Linked DNA regions of Ovis aries. The protein of the gene in region 1 interacts with the protein of each later gene in a biochemical or structural test. Links are inferred from orthologs where the notes say so. Each region holds a gene or a part of one and is shown in the gene's direction. Other genes may lie near its edges.

Evidence for each region. The genes of interacting proteins can lie anywhere in the genome.
Region 2: of the proteins of PLK1 (region 1) and TOP2A, one has a biochemical effect on the other in vitro, tested with the Homo sapiens proteins (2 studies listed by BioGRID). The link is inferred for Ovis aries from reciprocal best matches to the Homo sapiens genes PLK1 and TOP2A.

Annotation. Positions count from the first base shown.
Region 1 is NC_056077.1:21,877,712-21,887,862, forward strand, and holds the start of PLK1 (serine/threonine-protein kinase PLK1), read left to right. Parts: upstream 1-4,184; 5' UTR 4,185-4,291; coding exon 4,292-4,693; intron 4,694-5,355; coding exon 5,356-5,524; intron 5,525-6,903; coding exon 6,904-7,048; intron 7,049-8,000; coding exon 8,001-8,094; intron 8,095-9,345; coding exon 9,346-9,565; intron 9,566-10,151. UniProt on the Homo sapiens protein: Serine/threonine-protein kinase that performs several important functions throughout M phase of the cell cycle, including the regulation of centrosome maturation and spindle assembly, the removal of cohesins from chromosome arms, the inactivation of anaphase-promoting complex/cyclosome (APC/C) inhibitors, and the regulation of mitotic exit and cytokinesis.
Region 2 is NC_056064.1:40,395,172-40,405,515, reverse strand, and holds the start of TOP2A (DNA topoisomerase 2-alpha), read left to right. Parts: upstream 1-3,571; 5' UTR 3,572-3,680; coding exon 3,681-3,701; intron 3,702-4,561; coding exon 4,562-4,717; intron 4,718-4,926; coding exon 4,927-5,017; intron 5,018-5,282; coding exon 5,283-5,346; intron 5,347-6,426; coding exon 6,427-6,572; intron 6,573-6,759; coding exon 6,760-6,857; intron 6,858-7,349; coding exon 7,350-7,562; intron 7,563-7,899; coding exon 7,900-8,073; intron 8,074-8,454; coding exon 8,455-8,556; intron 8,557-8,663; coding exon 8,664-8,801; intron 8,802-9,832; coding exon 9,833-9,971; intron 9,972-10,344. UniProt on the Homo sapiens protein: Key decatenating enzyme that alters DNA topology by binding to two double-stranded DNA molecules, generating a double-stranded break in one of the strands, passing the intact strand through the broken strand, and religating the broken strand.

The DNA of each region.
Region 1 (10,151 bases):
AAAAATTTTTTTGACCATGCCCTGAAGCTTGTGGGATCCTAGTTCCCCAACCAGAGATTGAACCAGTGCCCTTGGCAGTGAAAGCTGGGAGTCCCAGTCATTGGACTGCCAGGGAATTCCCTAATTTTTTTTTAATTGGTTGAATTTGTTGCTTAAAAATGTATGATAGTGGATACCCTTGGGGGGGTTTATTACTGAAAGGGGGCCTGTGCAGGAAAGAGTGAACACTGCTGGCCTGTGATGATAACCCTGTACATGCTGAATTTACTACTAGGGGTTTGAGTACATCTGCAATGAGAAAAAAAGGGAAGTTTTTTAAAAATGGCTTTGTATTTTGTGGCCGTTGTATCTGGAGATATGATAAAATTGATTTATGATGTTACATGCTTGTAATTTCATAAATGCTAGTGGAGCCATCTCAAACATGCAAATTTTAAATTAAGAAGGTATTGGTGGGGTATAGCTTCCTTGCTTTTCCTATCCATAGGTAGGTTGGAATTTAAATTCTTTGGATTTTAGAACCAGAACAAGTCTCCATACCTGATGATTTTTGCTATGATTTGTGTCTGTTGGAACCTCTGGAAAGAGGGTGACAACATAAGAAGAGAAGCACTCTCTGAATAGAAATACACATTTGGATTTTGAAAAAGCAATTAGTTAAGTTTCTAATTGGCCCTTGTTGAAATCAGATGTCTGACCCTTAGAGGTTGATGATTGTCCAGTCTGATATGCATGTTTTTGAGTGGGTCAGTTTGGACTCTGAGACTGACAAAAGGGGTACCATGCTGTCTGGCACTGCAGCACGCCTTTGCCTCTGCTGAAGAAAAGTACCCAGCTTGATTGGAATCCCCAGTTCACTGACCCTCGTTGCCTGGACCTCACTCTAAGCTGAACCCTAACACTGGCTGTCAGTACACTCTTTCAGCTTCCCAAGGAGCAGTGCTGAACTGAAAGCAGACCCAGGCTCCATGGGCAGAGTTCAGTCAGACTCTGGGACCACTGGAGATTTAGGGCCCCTCTCTGGAGCTCTAAATGGTGACAGCATACATCGTGGATGCTGGCTGTACCAACTGGGTCACATACAAATGCCCACAGGAAAGAGTCATTCTTTGACGGGACCATCTAAAATCAAGCTGCTAATCAGCTCTTTTATGTCTGATGCAGAGGCTGATTGTATCCTGACTTGTGATCCCTGCCCAAACCTGCAAGTCGGAGGAGGGCACATCACAGAGACTCTGACCGCCGGCCACCTCCTGCTTCTGACATATCAGATTCTGGGCCTTCCCTGAGGGTGGCTCGATGCTTTTGATTTGTGTGCTCAGCCTCCTGGGTGAGCCGTAACTTTACTACCACGGGTTGATAGGCTTACTCCGCCTCCTCACTTTGCCCTCTGTACACACACCTTGTAAGTCAGAGTGACTACTCTGGTGTAGCTGTCTCTGGAAAAGGACTGATCTTTTCTAGGCTGTCTCTGGGGAAAAGGGGTGGAAGGTTATATGCTGCTAAGTCACTTCAGTCGTGTCCGACTCTGTGACTCCATGGATGGCAGCCCACCAGGCTCCCCCGTCCCTGGGATTCTCCAGGAAGGTTATATAAACCCACTGTAAAAATTTTTACATTCAGGACTTCATCCTCTGTTAGTGTGCTAGGACTGCAATAACAAAATAGCACAGACTGGATGGCTTAAAAAAATAGAAATGTATTTGCTCACAGTCCTAGAGGCTAGAAGTCCAAGAGCAAGCAGTTGGCACGTTTCTCCTAAGGCCTGTCTCCTAGGCCTGCACCTGGCAGCCTTCTCACTGTATCTTCACATGGTTGCCCCTCTGTCTGAATGTCTGTGTCTTAATCTCTTCTTATAAGAACACCAGTCATATTGGATGGGCCCACCCATTTTACTTTAATCACCTCTTTGAAGGCCATATCTCCAAATACAGTCACCTTCTGTACTGGATGTTAGGACTTCAGCATATAATTTGGGGAGAACACAGTTCAGCCCATAACATATCCTGATCAATTCCTGAATATTTTTCCAGTTAAATTATATTAAAATATTTATCTGCAAAATTATTCCCATGTCTCTTGCACACAGCCCTTCTGGATGAAAGGCCTGGATGAGAATAAAAGATTATTGAAAAAATGTCAGGTTAGTATTGCTGATCAAAAGCCTGGCACCCAGGGAGCTTTGGGGGCGGGGAGAGCATTTATGATCTTCATTTCTCAGAAATATTCTGGAAACTTTCCCCTTTTCCTGAAGGAAAGCTCCCAGTGCCGTCAGCTGGAAGATTGACCCTCAGCTGGCATCTGGGTTCTTGAATTTCAGGAGAGTTCTCACCATTCCCTAAATGACAGGAGTTGCTTACTGAATTTAAACTGTGTAAACTGTGGTTTATGCTGCATGCCTGCTTTCCTTCCAGGAGTGTAGAATTTTGGTGTGTTACAGGCAGAGGGTGCCTGTGTGACCAAACCCCAGAAAAGCCCTGGGCTGGAGTCTCTGATGAGCTTCTCTGGTAGATAACATTTCACACGTGTTGTCACACTCATTGCTGGAGGAGTTGTGTCCTGTGTGACTGACTCCACTGGGAGAAGACTCTGGGAAGCTTGTGCCTGGTTTCCTCTGGATTTTGCTCTATGCACCTTTCCCTTGGCTGATTTTGCTTCATAACCTTTCACTGTAATAAATCCTAGTCATCTGTGAGTAGAACTATATGCTGAGTCCTGTAGGGGGATGGTCTTGGGCCCCCCCCCCCCCGCCCCAGGGCACAAGGAGGACTTACGGGGTGGTTGGTCGTGTACTCTTTCTCAGTCTGGGTGCTGCTTACATGAGGTGTACTCATTTTGTGAAAATTCACTGAGCTGTCCAATTAACAGATGTATACTTTTTCGGTACATAGATTCAACTTTATAAAAAGATAAAACAATATTGTACACCACAGGGATTAAAAAATAATAATTTTTAAAAACAACTCCCTTTTATTTATAAAGCATTTTAGTCACTCCTTTTTGCCAAGCATTGTGCTGAGAGCTTGGGACATGGGGTAGGAAAGATGTCTTCATTGCCTCTGAGTTTATTGGGAGTTATGTAAAGAGATAACTGATATGACTTTTGCTGACTCCTAGCAAAGACATCATAGGATGCTGGGCTTACAACTTGAGTGATTCTCAGGGTTGCCACTTAAGTATCTATGGAAGCCAGACAGGCAAAGGGGCAAAGGAGGGTTATCAGGGAACTCTGACAAACTGGGAAGGTATGTTAAGTAAGCATAGAGTTGCAACAGCTAATAGTTTTTTCAAAGTTGCATTTTTATGTGAGCTGTCTTGATTTTTCACTCCTGTATATGAATCCAAATTTTAAAAAGTGAAAGACCAAACAAAACACCTCTGCAGCCAAATTTGACCTTGGCTTACCAGTTTGCCAGGCATTCTGCCAACCTGTCATCTTTCCCTCTTACAAAACACTTGAGGGTCCACTATTTTAGGCACTGGGAAATAGAGCAGTGAGCCAGCCAGACAATTTTCTTGCAGAATGACCCTGGCGGGGGTGGTGGGGTTCTGGTACTGTACTTCTCAAACTTCAATATGTGTGGGAATCACTGGGTAGATTCTGAATTGGGGGGGTCTGCGTTGAGGCCTGAAGCTTTGGCTTTCTAACAAGCTCCCAGGTGTTGGTGATGTTGGTGGCCCCTGCTGTTATTTGAAGAAGAGTAGGGGGTTTGTCTGGAAGATGCGTTTGCCTGGCAAGCATTCTCTTTAGACTTCGATTTTAGTTTATGGGGTGATTTGGAAGAGAGCTGGTGACTTCCGGGGCGGATGTTAGGGCTCCCCCATGCTGTCTCTCATTCTAGGTCTCTATTCTCAGAGTTTATAATCTAGAAGGCGAGGTGGGGATGGAGGAAGGTGCTGGGAAAAGCTTCCTGGAGGAGGTCCTCGCGGACTGCAGGAGCTTCCCCTGCCGTCGAGAAAGGAGAAACCCTGAACGCACCCTCTTCTGGGGCGGGGTCTCAGCAGCCCCACACCAGCTTTGGTTTCCCAGGCATCCCACGTGTCTTCCGTCCGCCATCCCTGCCAATCAAGCTCCTCCCAGGGCCTGGGTGAGAGTTTAAAGGCGGCTGCAGTGCCGAGCGCTCCCAGAGTGCCGCGCGGCGGGCGGGTTTGGATTTTAAATCCCCGCGGCCAATCAGTAGCGCGTAGGCTCTTGTAACGTTCCCGGCGCCGCGTTTGAATTCGAGGAGAGGCAGAGCCGTGCCAAGCCTCTGCCTAGACCCTGCTAGGTCCGCTGAGCAACTCCGGGAACATGAGTGCGGCGGCAACTGCAGGGAAGCTGGGGCGGGCACCAGCCGACCCAGGGAAAGCGCCCGGAGTTGCAGCTCCCGGGGCTCCGACGGCCGCCCCGCCGGCGAAAGAGATTCCGGAGGTCCTAGTGGACCCTCGCAGCCGGCGGCGCTATCTACGGGGTCGCTTTTTGGGGAAGGGTGGCTTTGCCAAGTGCTTTGAGATCTCGGATGCGGACACTAAGGAGGTGTTCGCGGGCAAGATCGTGCCTAAGTCGCTGTTGCTCAAACCGCACCAAAAGGAGAAGATGTCCATGGAGATATCCATTCACCGCAGCCTCGCTCACCAGCACGTCGTAGGCTTCCACGGCTTTTTCGAAGACAACGACTTCGTGTTCGTGGTGTTGGAGCTCTGCCGCCGGAGGGTGAGTGTCGCTGCTGGGGAACTGGAACTGCCCTGGCGTCAGGGGTTGGGGCACTGGGAACCGGAGCTGCTGGGGAAGGGGCGCCCCGGGGCTCAGAGCTGCTAGGGAAGAGGTGCTGGGAACCTGGAACTGGAAATGGAGAAAGTCTTGGGGAGAGGGAAGGTTCTCGGCACTTGGGGCCTCTAGGGAAGGCGGCTTCTGAACGCTAGGAGTTGGGCGGATTGGGGGAGGTGCGGGAGAACCTTGCTTATGGACGCCAGGGCTTTGGAGTTGCTAGGTAAGGGATATTGCGGACCCTCACTTTCCCGAGTAGGGTTGGGTCAGGCAGAGGGTAGTTGGAGCCAGACTTCGGAGCTTCCGGGGGAGGGGAGGGGCAGGAAAGGGACCTGTTGCTGCCAAGAGTTCCGGGACCGGGATACTGGGGTCTCTGAGCTTCCGGAGGGGTCTGAGAGAGGGGTCCCAGGTAAGGGTTTTGGGAGGGAGCCAGTGGGAGAGGGTTGCTATGAACTGTTGCGGCCTGGTTTTGGGGGGGGGGGGAGTCTGGATCGCAGTTGTCCTGAAGAAATGGTTAGTAGCGTCCTGGCTGCCTTTACCTAATGACACTCCCTCCCTGCCTTGGGTCTGAGCACCGGCTCCCATTTCTCCTTCCCTCCTGCTCCCAGTCTCTCCTGGAGCTGCACAAGCGGAGGAAAGCTCTCACGGAGCCCGAGGCCCGCTACTACCTGCGGCAGATCGTCCTGGGCTGCCAGTACCTGCACGGAAACCGCGTTATTCACAGAGACCTCAAGCTGGGCAATCTCTTCCTGAACGAGGATCTGGAGGTGAAAATAGGTAAGGAGCTGGGACTGCAAGGGCATTTGACATGCAGTGGGAATGAGGAGGAGCTGGGAGGGAGGGTGAGGGAGAGGAAATTTGGAAAGAGACAAGGGAGAGAGGAAGAGGATGGTAGGAAGTCTGGGCTGTTGATTGGCTGTAGAATCCTCTCTTAGGACAGGAACTTAAAGAGCTACAAACCAGTGTCTTGTCTGCAGATGTGCTTTGAGGGGGGCAGTGTGTTCTATACAGTTTGTTTTTTTTTTTTAAGAATTTGGATTTGTTTTCACTTTTTAAAAATATTTTTTCAATTTACTTATTTCGGCTGCACTGGGTCTCCGCTGCTGCATGCCTTTCTCTGGTGCGGTGAGTGGGGGCTACTCTGCGTCGCATGTGCGGATTTCTCATTGCAGTGGCTTCTCCTTGTGGAGCGCAGGCTTCAGCAGTTGTGGCTCCAGCGCTCTAGAGCACAGGTTCAGTAGTTGTGGCACATGGGCTTAGGTGCTCTGTGGCACATGGGATCCTCACCGACCAGGAATGGAACCTGTTTCTCCAGCATTGGCAGGTGAATTCTTTACCACTGAGCCATCACGGAAGCCGCTCCTCATTTTCACTTTTTTAAACTGAGAGCCTTGATGTAAAACTTTGAATTTGGAGCTCCTTTTAAACACTCGAGAGCTCCAGCAGTACAGGGGTAGCGTTCCCTCAAGACAGCTCTTTGCTGTACTGAACAGCAGCTGTTCCCTTTAGATGCCCTATGGTTTGCCACATTCCCCACCCCTCCGTATCACTTCCTCACAAACTTGCCAAGTAGCCATCTTGACATTTACTTGCTTAATCCCTGAAGGTGTTTGAGTTTTGCTATCCCTGTCAGTCGGAGAAGGCAATGGCACCCCACTCCAGTACTCTTGCCTGGAAAATCCCGTGGATGGAGGAGCCTGGTAGGCTGCAGTCCATGGATCACGAAGAGTCGGACACGACTGAGCGACTTCACTTTCACTTTCATGTGTTGGAGAAGGAAATGGCAACCCACTGCAGTATTCTTGCCTGGAGAATCCCAGGGACGGAGGAGCCTAGTGGGCTGCTGTCTGTGGGGTCACATGGAGTCAGACATGACTGAAGCGACTTAGCAGATCCCTGTCAGTTCCCTTTTAGAAGTAAACCCCTCCTTTCTAAGGGGAGGGGTGATGAGAGTCTTTGGGAGGCCCTTCCCTAGGGCCAGCATGGTGGGAGGATTCCTGGGTAACAGGAATCTAGTCCTTGCTGTACACAAGGACTAGAGGCTTTGAGAGATCACTTGACCCTGGTTCTTGATGGTTACCAGCTGAACCAGCTGTCTGCATTGACAGACGACAGAAGCTGGCATCTGAGCCTCCCTCTTCCTCCCTCTGTCCCAGGGGATTTTGGACTGGCAACCAAAGTGGAGTATGACGGGGAACGGAAGAAGACCCTGTGCGGGACTCCTAATTACATAGCTCCTGAGGTGCTGAGCAAGAAAGGGCACAGTTTCGAGGTGGACGTATGGTCCATTGGGTGCATCATGTAAGTTGGGAGTTGTCTCAGGACCCACCAGTCTCAGCAAGGGGCTTTCTGGACATCTCACTTGGCAGGCTTTATCCTGCAGACCTTTCCGCCTTTGGAAAGACTGTTCCAGAGGACAGATGGTCTCTGAAGGAACCCTCATTGCTGAATTGGTATATCCTGTAGGATTCCTGCAGCCTGGGCTGTGGGTTCAGGGAATGAGGGAGGGAATGTCTCCACAAACTTGCTCTAATCCCTTGCTATTCAAAGTACGGCAGACCAGCTGCAGCATCACGTAGGAACTTGTTACGCAGAATCTCAAGACCCAGACTAACTGGATCACAATCTGTATTAAGACCCTTGAGTGATTTCTATGCACAATAAAGTATTAGAACCACTGATCTAAAAAGCAGCATTGGGTGGGAAGAATTAGGCCAGGAGTGGTGCTGGCAGGAGGAGGTCCTGTGGTCTGTCTGGGTCAAGGCCATCAGAGGTGGGTGGTGGGCAGAGAGTTGGGCCTGTTCAGGTGTTACCCCTTTTGTTGTTTCCCTGGATACTGGAGAGTTAGAAATGGCTTTCCTACTTCTTTGCCTTGGAATTTCCCACATGAAAACTTGCAGCCTAAAGTACAGAACTATTAACTGTGGGGCTGCCTCAAGGAAAGTGACCCCTGCTTGGACCTGTTCCATGTTAGCTGGCAGCCTCTGGCCCCTAGATTACCGCAGGCTATAGCTAAAAAGTCACTGGTCCATTAGAACCCAGTTTCATCACCTGTATTCTACTGAGGGTACCTCCCTGCCAGTGTCGTGGCTCCTGGGGCTGCTTAGTGAACTTGTGAATTGTCCTCTGGGGCCCCAGAGTCACAGTGAATGCCCAAAAGATGTCTGACTTCCTTTCTGGCCCTGAGAGGATTCCTCCCTGCATCTGGGTTTTGGTTGGGAGCCTTGAGCCAAATCCCTCCTTGTGCTTACAGGTATACCTTGTTAGTGGGCAAGCCACCTTTTGAGACCTCTTGCCTAAAAGAGACCTACCTCCGGATCAAGAACAATGAATACAGTATTCCCAAGGTGACTAAAACCACTTTAAGTTTACATTTGTTTTATTTAATTCCCTCCCCCACCAAGTGATTTACAGAGCCCAGCCATTTCCGGGGGAAAGAGATGGGTCAGTGCCACCCCATGGGTAAGTGTAACAGCTTTAGAGGGTCCTGTCTGAAATTGCATACAGAGGCTGATGTATGTGTACAGAAACAGTTTTTCTTGGGATGAGAGTTTGCAGGCTTTCATCCGTTGGGGAGATAACCCAAAAGACGTGAAAAACAGAGAGAAAGAGCCAGAGTAGGGGCAGACGGAGAAGTGCTGCTTAGCCTGGCTGTGGACTGTCTTGGTTCAGATGGGCTCTGCCACTTTTTAGCCAGATCACAATGGACAAATGGCCTGAGTCTTCTGAGCTGCAGTTTCCCATCTGTAAAGTGGAGTCCCTGCCCCAGAGCATCTTGCACACAGCGAGCGCTCACAGAATCTCGAACCACCGTGAAGGCGAAGTGGCGTGCTTTTGCAGCCCCCAGCAAGAGTGCATTGAGAGGGATAGTTGGCAGCAGTCTGGCACACAGCTGCTTCCACAGTTTGGCATCTTTGTCTTATGTGAAGCCAAGAGCCCTGTCTCCATCAGGATGGATGGGCTGAATCCGTTACAGAGGGTCAATTATTGGGCCGAGTAGAGCGGTTCCCAGTGTGGGGGTTGCACCTGACTGCCTCGGTGTGGGTGCTGGCTCCACCACTCACTCGGGATGTATCTTAGGCACTTGACTTCTCTGTGCCTATTTCCTCATCTGCTAAAGAGGGATGGTACTAGAGAGCTTCAGTCCTTGGGTGTTTCTCTGAGGGTTAAGTGAGTTCATCTACACGAAGTGCTTACAATATTTTGCTGGTAGATAGTAAGTACAAAGTTGATGCTAGGCTTTACTGTGCATTTGACCTACCCTGGGTTGGGTCTCCTTGCCAGGGCTCCAAGCTTGGTGCTGTGTCCCCACTTTATAGATGAAGATACAAAGGCCCAGAAAGTTGGGTTGGTTGGCACAGCTGGTGCTGAGGGACAGAACTGGGACTTACACCAGGCCTTTATGACTTCCAAGCCTTTGTTTTCAAGTGCTGTTCTAGTGGTGAGCAACTTGTCAACTTAGTAAAGCTGCCAGTGGAAACTTGGGACGTTTATAGCCACTGAACATGGTGTATTTGGGGCCGGGTAGTGGGTGGTGGTGCAGCAGCTGGGTTGGTCCTGTGTCATATCCTGCTTATGACTCCCCACCTTCCCTCCAGCACATCAACCCCGTGGCCTCCTCTCTCATCAAGAAGATGCTTCAGCCAGATCCCAGTGCCCGTCCAACCATTCACGAGCTGCTCAATGACGAGTTTTTCACTTCCGGCTATATCCCTGCCCGCCTCCCCATCACCTGCCTCACCATTCCACCGAGGTTTTCAATTGCTCCCAGTAGCCTGGACCCCAGCAACCGGAAGCCTCTCACCATCCTCAATAAAGGTAAACCAGAGTGTGGGTAGACAAACAGCCTTGCCTGCCTCTGTGTGTGAATGGATGGTCCCCAAAGCTCAGGTGTGCAGTAGGATGGGCCCCAGTCTTTGAATCCATGGTCCCCATCCTTATGTGGCAAATGCCTTTCCCCATAGCCCTGTCAGGGAAGACAGACCTTACTGTGACTGAGTCAGACCTGTCATGTCCGGAGAGAAGAGAGTGGCTAAATGCCATGCCTGAATAATTCTTAATATATATTTTTTAAATCGTTGATATTGCCCTGCATGGTTCATTGGAAAAAATGTTGAGAAGCTTCAGATACACACATGGAGCACAATGTGCGTGGGACCCACATCACCGCCAGAGTCAACACTTGCTAAGATTTGTAGTGTTTGCTTCATAGCTCCTTGTTTGTTCCTTTGAAGTATTTTTGAAGTTAATTCCAGACATCTTGCCATTTTACCCCCAAGAACTTCCGTACGCATCTCTCTAAAAGGATAGACATTTTCTTACAAAACCACATCTCATTGCTTGGTTTGTCGTTGTTTCTAGGTCTCTTCAGAGAGCAGAATTAGAAAATACATAACTGGGGTGG
Region 2 (10,344 bases), on another chromosome or scaffold:
AAGAGTGGACTTGGGAAAACTGGCCAGGACAAGGGAGGAAGATCTTGACAAGGAGTAGAGGTAGTATCTGCTAATGTGTTTTGAGCACTTACTATTTGCCAAGGATCGCACTAAGTGCTTTGCATGTATTATCTCACCCTCTGTGAAGGTACTCTCATTATCCTTATTATTATTTTTTGTGTGTGTGTGTGTGGACCATTCTTTTAAAGTTCACATAAAATTTTGTTACAATACTGCTTCTGTTTTATGTTTTGGTTTTTTTGGCTGCGAGGCATGTGAGATCTTACCTTCCTGAACAGGGATCGAACCCACATCCGCTGCATTGGAAGACGAAGTCTTAACCACTGGACCACCAGGGACATCCCACATCATCTCCATTTTAGATGAAGAAACGGAAGTACAGTGAGCCTGAGTGACTCGCCCAAGGTCATACATCCAACAAATCAGCAGTCTGACTCAGGTACTCAACTTCACCCCTGTAGGTCAGAGTAGAGATGGGAATAAGGTCAGAGTATGTAGTAGTTTGGGCCCCTGCAGAGTTGGGGGAAGGTGGAAGTTGGGGAGGATCATGAGAATGATAGCAGCCCCCTCTCTCCTTGGAACTGACTCCCAATCCCTTCCTGCCTCCCACGACTATAGGCTGTCAGGCCCCCAGAACTCCCTGTTTGTGGACAATGCCTGCCAGGACACTCATCCAGACTTCCTTCCTCCCCTTCTCCCCACTCAAGTCCTGCAGGATCCTCTGTGATAGTCTCTGGAAAGGAGGAGGGGCTAAAAGAGAAACAACTTTTGTCCAGAAGAGAAACCCACCCCCTACCACCCCACCCCCACCCCCTGTACTAGAGGACTGGAAGGCTGTCTTAGGTGCTTCCATATCTCATTTAGCCCTGTGTACCTTAGATAAAGGGCTTTCCAGGTGACACTAATGGTAAAGAACCCTGCTGCCAATGCAGGAGACATAAGAGATGTGGGTTTGATCCCTGGGTCAGGAAGATCCCCTGGAGGAAGGCATGGCAACTCACTCCAATATTCTTGCCTGGAGAATCCCATGGACAGAGGAGCCTGGTGGGCTACAGTCCATAGGGTCACAAAGAGTTGCACACAACTTAGCAACTGAAGCAACTTAGCACACACACACACCTTTGATAATAGATACTGGCATGGGAAACTGAGACTCAGGGAGATATCTGATTCAGGCATGTGTGACTGCACAGTCCTTTTGACTCCCCAGCTATGCTTCAGGGCCATTGGAACAAAGACCCACACAATCAGGATCAGGCTAAAATGCATGGGGGATTTAAAACTGGATACCAGAAAACAGAACTGGAGCAGCTTATTAAATTCCTATTGCCTCATCCTCAGATGGGTCTTGCAGGGAACTGCAGACTGGGCAAGGTAGAGGCCATGAAGCAGAGGCTGCATTGCCATTTTAAGGAAGGATGCCCACCCACCCTTAATACATGGGGCCTTTGTGTTCCAAGAGATAGAAGGCAGCATGGCTGGTGTCTGACTTTCAAGGTAATCCTCTGTCTTGGGGAAGCTATAGGGAATGACAGGCTTGCCCTGGACCCCAAGCCCATCAGCCTTCTAGATGGACAGAAGCTACTGAATGGGCTTCCCTACAACTGCTCTGAGACCCTGGTGGTCTGGTGCATTAAGGTTGCCTTTCTGTATCAATGCACATGGTTGAGCAGAGTGGAGCTGTAAACAATGGAGACCAGGAAACCAAGAGGATAGGGACCAGAGCAATGCCAAAACCCTATTCCTTTGGCTTTTCCAATTATCCTAGCCTGGCAGGCTACAGTCGATAGGGTTACAAAGAGTCAGACACTACTGAAGTGACTTGGCACATAGCACATGGGCCACTTCCATCCTTGACATCCGGTCACAACATACTCTCTCCTCACTGGCCTCACTGGCCTTCCCAGAGGCTTTGCCGGCAGAGTGGGCGTTGGATACCCTGCGGAGGTTGACTTGGTTTTAGAAGGAAAAAAAGGATTAAGCCCACAAATTTATGCTAGTGTAAAGAAAACCCCTGCTTTCTGATTCTGAAACTGTTGGTCTACTGTTCTAAACACCTTATCTTCCTGTAATCCTCACACTACCCTGAGGTAATGCTGTTATTTTTATTCCCTTTTTTGAGCAGAGGAAAAGAAAGCAACTGAGAAGCTGCCTTCATCAAGATCACACAACTGGCAAAATGCCTAGTCAGGGTTGAAACTCAGGGAATAATGATTGGAAGGAGGTATTAATATTTCTGATGGAATTCACAGTCATTCAAATTGTGCAGTTATTTTTTTCTAGCATCTTGTGAGGCCAATGACTTTTCTTTTTTGTCATTTTAACATTATCGATTGAGGACAGGAAGAAAAAACACACATTTGAACATTTAAACGTCAGAGTAGTAAACATTTCGGTCTTTGGCATTTCCTAGTCAAATATGGCGGAGAAAGCAATGGCACCCCACTCCAGTACTCTTGCCTGGAAAATCCCATGGACAGAGGAGCCTGGTAGGCTGCACTCCATGGGGTCGCTAAGAGTCGGACACGGCTGAGCGACTTCACTTTCACTTTCATGCATTGGAGAAGGAAATGGCAACCCACTCCAGTGTTCTTGCCTAGAGAATCCCAGGGACGGGGGAGCCTGGTAGGCTGCCATCTATGGGGTCGCACAGAGTCGGACACGACTGAAGCGACCTAGCAGCAGCAGCAGTCAAATATGGACTCCAGGGTTCAGGGAACAACACAGAGAAGAATAAAAGTAACAACTACGAGGACATTCTGCTGGTCGTCTGAGGAAAAAGTTACTGCCTTAGAATGGCACCTAAACCATCCTCAACTCCTGAGGCGGTGACTATAAATTACCCCCTCTAACTGACAAGTCGCTGCCTCAAGCCGCTCTTTCGGGGGTTTTGAACGCTGGTCTCTCTCTTTTATGTGGCCTCTCTATGCCCTGCCGTTATACGAAAACCCCAGCTACGTTCACGTACGGCCAAGCATGGCTTTTGTTTCTTCAAAGATAAACTCTAGGGGTGGAGGGGCGGGCTTTGAGGCAGACGCCCGGTTTGCTGAACTGAACCGAATGCCCCGGCTGCTTGTCCAGAAAGCTGGCGCTCAGTTTTCCCAGGAAACGGAGCTAGGACTCCCGTTCCTTTAAAAAAAGAAAAAAGAAAAAATCAGGATGGAGGACAGTCTTCAGATTTTAGGGACCTGAAAGAAGATACCAGCTTCGGGGTATACATATCCTCTCCTTTTTTTCCCCCCAACCTGGATCCCACTTTCACAGCGCATTTTTCCGGAGTTACACAGAGAGAACAAACTACCCCTGCTCATTCGCTAGATTCCCTGTCCGTCCCTCAGCAACGACGCCGAGTGGTGTCTTTTAAAACCCTCTAGTCCCGCCTCCCTCCTCTAATTGGTTCATTCGAACGGGCCAGCTCAGCTGTTTATTGGTGAATATAAAAAAACAGCCTTGATTGGTTTCTCGGGACGGAACTGATGAGAGCGCGTCAACGATTGGCCTATCTGGTTTGGGCGGGCTAGAGGAAGGTTCAAACCGGAGGGGAAGCTCTCTCCTAACCGACGTGCGTCTGTGGAGAAGAGGCTTGCTCCGTGATTGTCTCGAGGGTCCCACCGGTTTAGTCACTTGCAGGGTTCTCGAGCCTCTTCACGACCGTCACCATGGAGGTGTCGCCACTACAGGTACAGCTCGCGGGAGGGGGGCGTCGCGGAGCCTCAGCGCGGCCCGGCATCTCTCCGGCTGCCGGTGAGAGAGAGGCGTCTGGGTCGTGGTCCGGCCGCCGAGGGCTGGGCGCGGGTTTTCCGCGTCTACTCGGGTCCCCTGGGCTCGGCGTGATCGCGAAGAGACTGAATGAAACCTTTTTCTGGTGCTAGTAGTGAAGTATTGTTGGCTGTACTGGCTTCTAGGGTGCGGCGTTGTGTTTCACTGTTTCTAGAGATTCATTTGGTCCCGGTGTAGGTCGATGGGATCGTGGTCCGCATGTAGCTTTACGCGGCACTGAGAGATGCTTTCCTCTCCCACCTGGGGCTGAAAATGGGATTGGATGACCCTAACTTTGGACAGTGCAGAGCAAGGAACAGGGTTCCCACTATGGAGCCGGCAGGTCCGATGCTCAAAATAAGTCCCTCCTGTGTTTAAAACGTTAACGTGTCCAAAGGATGGAATCCCTATCCTCCCAAACTGCTACTGTAGAATCTATTATGTGCCTGAGACCTGGTAGGCACTCAGTAGATATGTGTGGAGTACCTGAAAAAAGGGGATGTGTGCTGTTGATGGCATCTAACGCATGGAAGTATTTCCATGTCAGATACACAGGGCAAAATAATATGTCTGTTTAAACTGACACTTGGGGGGAACCTGCTGCAGTTAACTTATATTGCCATGTTTGTACAACACTATGTCAGCTCCACTGATAACCTACCAAAAGTCTGATTTGTTTTGGTGTGTGTAAGCAGATCACTATGATAGGTATTTTGTTTCTGGTTTCTGATAAACCTATGATTCAAAATCCCTTTTCTTCAATTTTTTAAAAAATTCCTAGCCTGTAAACGAAAATATGCAAGTCAGCAAAACAAAGAAAAATGAAGATGCTAAGAAAAGATTGTCTGTTGAAAGAATCTATCAAAAGAAAACACAACTGGAACATATCCTGCTCCGCCCAGACACCTACATTGGCTCTGTGGAATCAGTGACCCAGGTAAAATCAGGCTAATTAAATGTAGTTACTAAGTAGTTAAGATGAATACTTGTCCAGGTTAATTTTCTATATTTCATGTACTTTGTCTTCTGCAACTGGCCTAAGCTATCATCTACATTGTCATACTAACTGAGAAGACTTTACAGGAACCATGATAATAAAACGAAGTAGATATATAAAGTAACCCTGTTTCTTTGTCTTATTTCTAGCAAATGTGGGTTTACGATGAAGATACTGGCATTAACTATAGGGAAGTCACTTATGTTCCTGGTTTGTACAAAATCTTTGATGAGATTCTAGGTAAGTATATTCTTAATACAAAGATCTGCTGGTCAGATGTGAGAAGTATTATTCCTACCAAAAAACAGTTGGCAAAGGTTAGACAGTCTGCTGGAATCTAGGAAGTTGAGTTCTTAGAAACAGTCCTATGAATAAAAATTGCTAAATGAATACCTCATCAATGTTACTCCTGCACTGCCTGAGATTTTTTTTCTTTTTGTATCTTAGAGGTAAAGAGTGTTTTCTAAAATACTTTAACTTTTTACAAATGTGTTTTTTCTTTCAGTCAATGCTGCAGACAACAAACAAAGGGACCCAAAAATGTCTTGTATTAGAATCACAATTGACCCGTAAGTCTCCTGCTTAGTCTTTTGTTTTTTGTAGCACCCTGTTGCTGTTAATTGCATTTACTTGATTTATAGTAAAGTTGAGCATTTTTTTAATGGAATTTTGCAAAACTGCAGAAAGGTAGAGTGCTAAAATGAGCAATCTAGATAGCTACCATCTAGATCCAACAGTTATCAACACTTTGCCATATTGGTACCATCTATATTTTTAATCATTTCAAAATAAATTATAGACATTATAACATTTTATTTCTAAATATTTCAATAAACATCTCCAATAAGTTCTCTAAGTATTCCAGAGTCTATAGCTATAACTTTTTCTCATGATGCTGTTCAAACAGTAAGCCAGCAGATGGTGATAAAGAATAATTTGATCTAACTTTTCTGCTTATAAATGTCCTTTTGTGGGTAGTCAGGGTGTTGCTTCCCTTTGTTAGTATCCTAATCAGTTATAACATAAACTATACTTTAGATTCTTTTTGGGAAATGTGTTAATGATGTGCTTGAGTGCTCCTAAGGACTTGATACCATAGTCTTTGAAAAAATATTAAGCTAGTTTTAAGCTACGTGTAATGAGAACCATAGTGTGTGTCGTTAGAACTAAAATATAAGTCCAAATAAATTTTGAACATTATGTTGGTGAGCAGGGACGTTTACAATGGATGATGCTCTTTCATATTTGTTTTGCCAGTGTGCTTTGTCAGATGGGAAAGCTAAGGGAGCTGGGACAGTGCAGATGATCCTCTTAAAAGCGGTGTAATAATATTGTTTCCAAATTTTGTCCTTTCCATTGGGCAAAATTCATTTCCCTTTGTTTATCCTAACATTTTAAAGCTTCATATTTTTTCAGTATTATCAGTGTCTGCCCAGGTGTTGGAAAAGGATTGATTTTTTTTTTCCTCTTGGCTCCTATTTCATAATTGTTAGGAACTAAGTATGCTGAATTTCAGAAGGTATATATATAAAGAGTCATAAAGAAATTGAGATGTGTGTTTTAGAGACAATGGTATTTAACTATGAAAAGAATTAAGCACTAGCTTAACATCTGTTTTACAAAAAAAAAAATCAATCTTCTTTTCTTAGGGAAAACAATTTAATTAGTATATGGAATAATGGAAAAGGTATTCCTGTTGTCGAACACAAAGTTGAGAAGATGTATGTCCCAGCTCTCATCTTTGGACAGCTCCTAACTTCTAGCAACTATGATGATGAAGAAAAGAAAGTAACAGGTAGAGTACTGAGGAAAATAAAAAACACATTTGTTGCTGAAAAAATACATCTTTTCAAAGATTGTGGCCTAAAGGTTAAAAATATGGGAATAAATCTCCATAATTAAATAGCATTGCCAGTGATTAAGAAATAAAGCTGTAAATGCGATAAGAACAATTAAATCATATTTTACATTTATTTGCCCAGGTGGTCGAAATGGCTATGGAGCCAAACTGTGTAACATATTCAGTACCAAATTTACTGTGGAAACAGCAAGTAGAGAATACAAGAAAATGTTCAAACAGGTAAGTAAATGAGTATCTTGTGCCTTGATTATAAATTATGCTGTAGCAATTTATAGTGGCATTAAATTAAATGCCACTTAATTAACTTAATTTATAATCTATTAAATCATGGGAAAGGGAAGTCGCTCAGCCGTGTCCAACTCTTTGTGACACCACAGACTGTAGTCTACCAAGCTTCTCCGTCCATGGGATTTTCCAGGCAAGAGTACTGGAGTGGGTTGCCATATCCTTCTCGAGGGGATCTTCCCCACCCAGGGATCAAACCCCAGCCTCCTGCATTGCAGGCAGACGCTTTACCCTCTGAGCCACTAGGGAAGCTCATAGAAAGTTACTCATAAATGTATATTAGGGAAGTTGAGGGGTGGGGGTTGGTTTGGTTGGGTGTGTGTGTGTTTGTTTGTGTGTTTGTTTTAGGACTTGTAAATTTGTGTTATTTAATTCTAGTTTGTGAGATAACTTGAATTTTTTTCTCTCTATTCTTTATTTCCATAGACATGGATGGATAACATGGGGAAAGCTGGTGAGATGGAACTCAAGCCCTTTAGTGGAGAAGATTATACATGTATTACCTTCCACCCTGATTTGTCTAAGTTTAAAATGCAAAGCCTAGACAAAGATATTGTTGCACTGATGGTTAGAAGAGCATATGATATTGCTGGATCCACTAAAGATGTCAAGGTCTATCTCAATGGAAATAGGCTTCCAGTAAGTATTTTATTGGATGTAGGCAATGAGGTACTTACCTTTGTGACCATCGTCAAAAGCAAAGTTGATTTTTTTTTTCCTCCCATTTGTTTTTCTTACCACTTCTCAGATGTGTTCCTGTAAAGAAAACATAATGCCACATTTTAAAAAAATCAGTTAACTTACTTAAGTTCACTGAAGTCTTTCTCAAAGAATCTTATAAGTAAATCCTTTTGTGTCCTTTAGTGACCATCCTCTTATACATATCAGTGAACACCATTTCATAAGTTTTGAAGCATCTTTATTAAAACCTACTTTTTCATTTACTTAAAAAAAAATTAATACTATTATTTTTTAGGTGAAAGGATTCCGTAGCTATGTAGATCTGTATCTGAAGGACAAGGTAGATGAAACTGGCAATCCATTGAAAATTATCCATGAACAAGTAAACCACAGGTGGGAAGTATGTTTAACAATGAGTGAAAAAGGCTTTCAGCAAATTAGCTTTGTCAACAGCATTGCTACTTCCAAGGTAATTTTATTTTTGAATTATCAGTCATGATTTATCTTTACATATTTCATATAACTATTCTTGTTTTAAATATATAAAATGAACTTGAATATTTGGCTACCTTGACATCAGTTCAGTTCAGTCTCTCAGTCGTGTCCGACTCTTTGCGACCCTGTGGATCGCAGCACGCCAGGCCTCCCTGTTCATCACCATCTCCCGGAGTTCACTCAGACTCACGTCCATCGAGTCCGTGATACCACCCAGCCATCTCATCCTCTGTCATCCCCTTCTCCTCCTGCCCCCAATCCCTCCCAGAGAACTAAATTAGCTTTTTTTAAATGTTTGATTATGATTACAATTTTGAGGGTAATGCATTTACAGTTTGGTATTTTTCCTCATTAGGGTGGCAGACATGTTGATTATGTAGCTGATCAGATTGTGACTAAACTTGTTGATGTTGTGAAGAAAAAGAACAAGGGTGGTGTTGCAGTAAAAGCACATCAGGTACGATCCTTTAACACTGTTCTTTGGAGAAAGTCAAGGAAGAAGCGAAAGTCTATAAATAAAACATGAGTAAATGTTTAGTAATTTACTGTCAATTTTTACTGCAGGTAAAAAATCACATGTGGATTTTTGTGAATGCCTTAATTGAAAACCCAACCTTCGACTCCCAGACAAAAGAGAACATGACTTTACAAGTCAAGAGCTTTGGATCAACATGCCAGCTGAGTGAAAAATTCATCAAAGCTGTGAGTACTTGGAAGGAAATAAAAGATAGAAGCATCTTCCTTTATTTTCCATTGCCCTTCTCAGCTCTGCAGAAACCAAAATTCCTCCCACATGTCTTCTCTCTCTGAAAAGGAAATTAAAAAAACAACCCTTACCGCTTACCAGCTCTTACCAAGCCCTTAATTATCATCTATATGCCATCTCTATTTATTTGGCCATTACATGTCACCAGTTCAGATCACTTCTGAATTTATCTCATCTAACTACTTACCAAGCATTGAATGCCTTAAGTTGCTCTCAGTGGACACATCCAAAACTGAATCAGTTCTCTCCATACTCACTAATCGCCATTCAGGGAACTTCCCCACCCCCAAAAAACAAAAGTATGTCCTGTTTAGTTAAAGGCCCCAACCAACTGTTAGGTTGCATAAACCTAAATTCCTTAATTCAGCCTACAAGACCCTGCCATTTCTAACCTTATCTCAGTACCACTTTTCCCACATTACCTAAGTCTCACTCCTACTGGCTTTAAATTTCTCAAAAACAGAGTACTCTTTCCCTCTTTAGAGCTTTTTCATGTTTCAGACAGAAGGATTACCCTGCCTGAAACGCTTTTCACTTGGCTGACTACTTTAGGTCTTAACTGTCATTTCTTTAGGAAAACCTTTACTTTCTGTTCATTTCCCTAAAAATTTGTTCCCATAAGACACTGGCCATATATTATTATACGTGATATGCTTTCTACTTATCTCTTCACACTGTAATCGCTCATTTTATTTCTGTCTTCCTTGTTGTATACCAGATTCCTTTAGGACAAGGACTAGCTAATTTGTTTTAACCGCTAGATCGCCACATGGAGCTCAGTGCCTGGCACCATATAAGTATGTAGTCAGTAAATATCGAATGAAAACCCAAAGGAACCAGCTCCCTCAGTGGTGATAACCTGAGACAGGAAAATGTGCCACATTCTGCCCATTTTTGTGGGAGTTCATTTGTATTCCGTATTTCTGACAGAACTCTTCTTCCCTAACATGAATCTTCTCATTTTCAGGCAATTGGCTGTGGTATTGTAGAAAGTATACTAAATTGGGTGAAATTTAAGGCCCAAATCCAGTTAAACAAGAAGTGTTCTGCTGTAAAACATAACAGAATCAAAGGAATTCCCAAACTTGATGATGCCAATGATGCAGGTACACATTTAATGTTTCCAAAGTTTAAATCTTAGACTTATTTGATTTGATTCATTGACAGCATACTGTGGATATTTTTCCCTTGACACTTAATATTCAACAGAATGTTTGTACTTTGTTAAAAATCAACCAGTTCCCTGTTACTGAACACTTGGGTCATTTCCAGTTTTAACTGTTAAAAATATTTTGAAATTATTATTTTGGTGTATAAAACAAGAATGTTTATATAGTAATCTATTACCTAATGTAGAGGAGGAAAAAGTCTTCTCAACCTTCTTAAGGCTATCTCTGAAAAATAAAATGATAGACATTAACGGAAAAAAGCAAGTGTATTTATTTAATATAGTTTCATGTGACCAGAAAATTTGTAAGG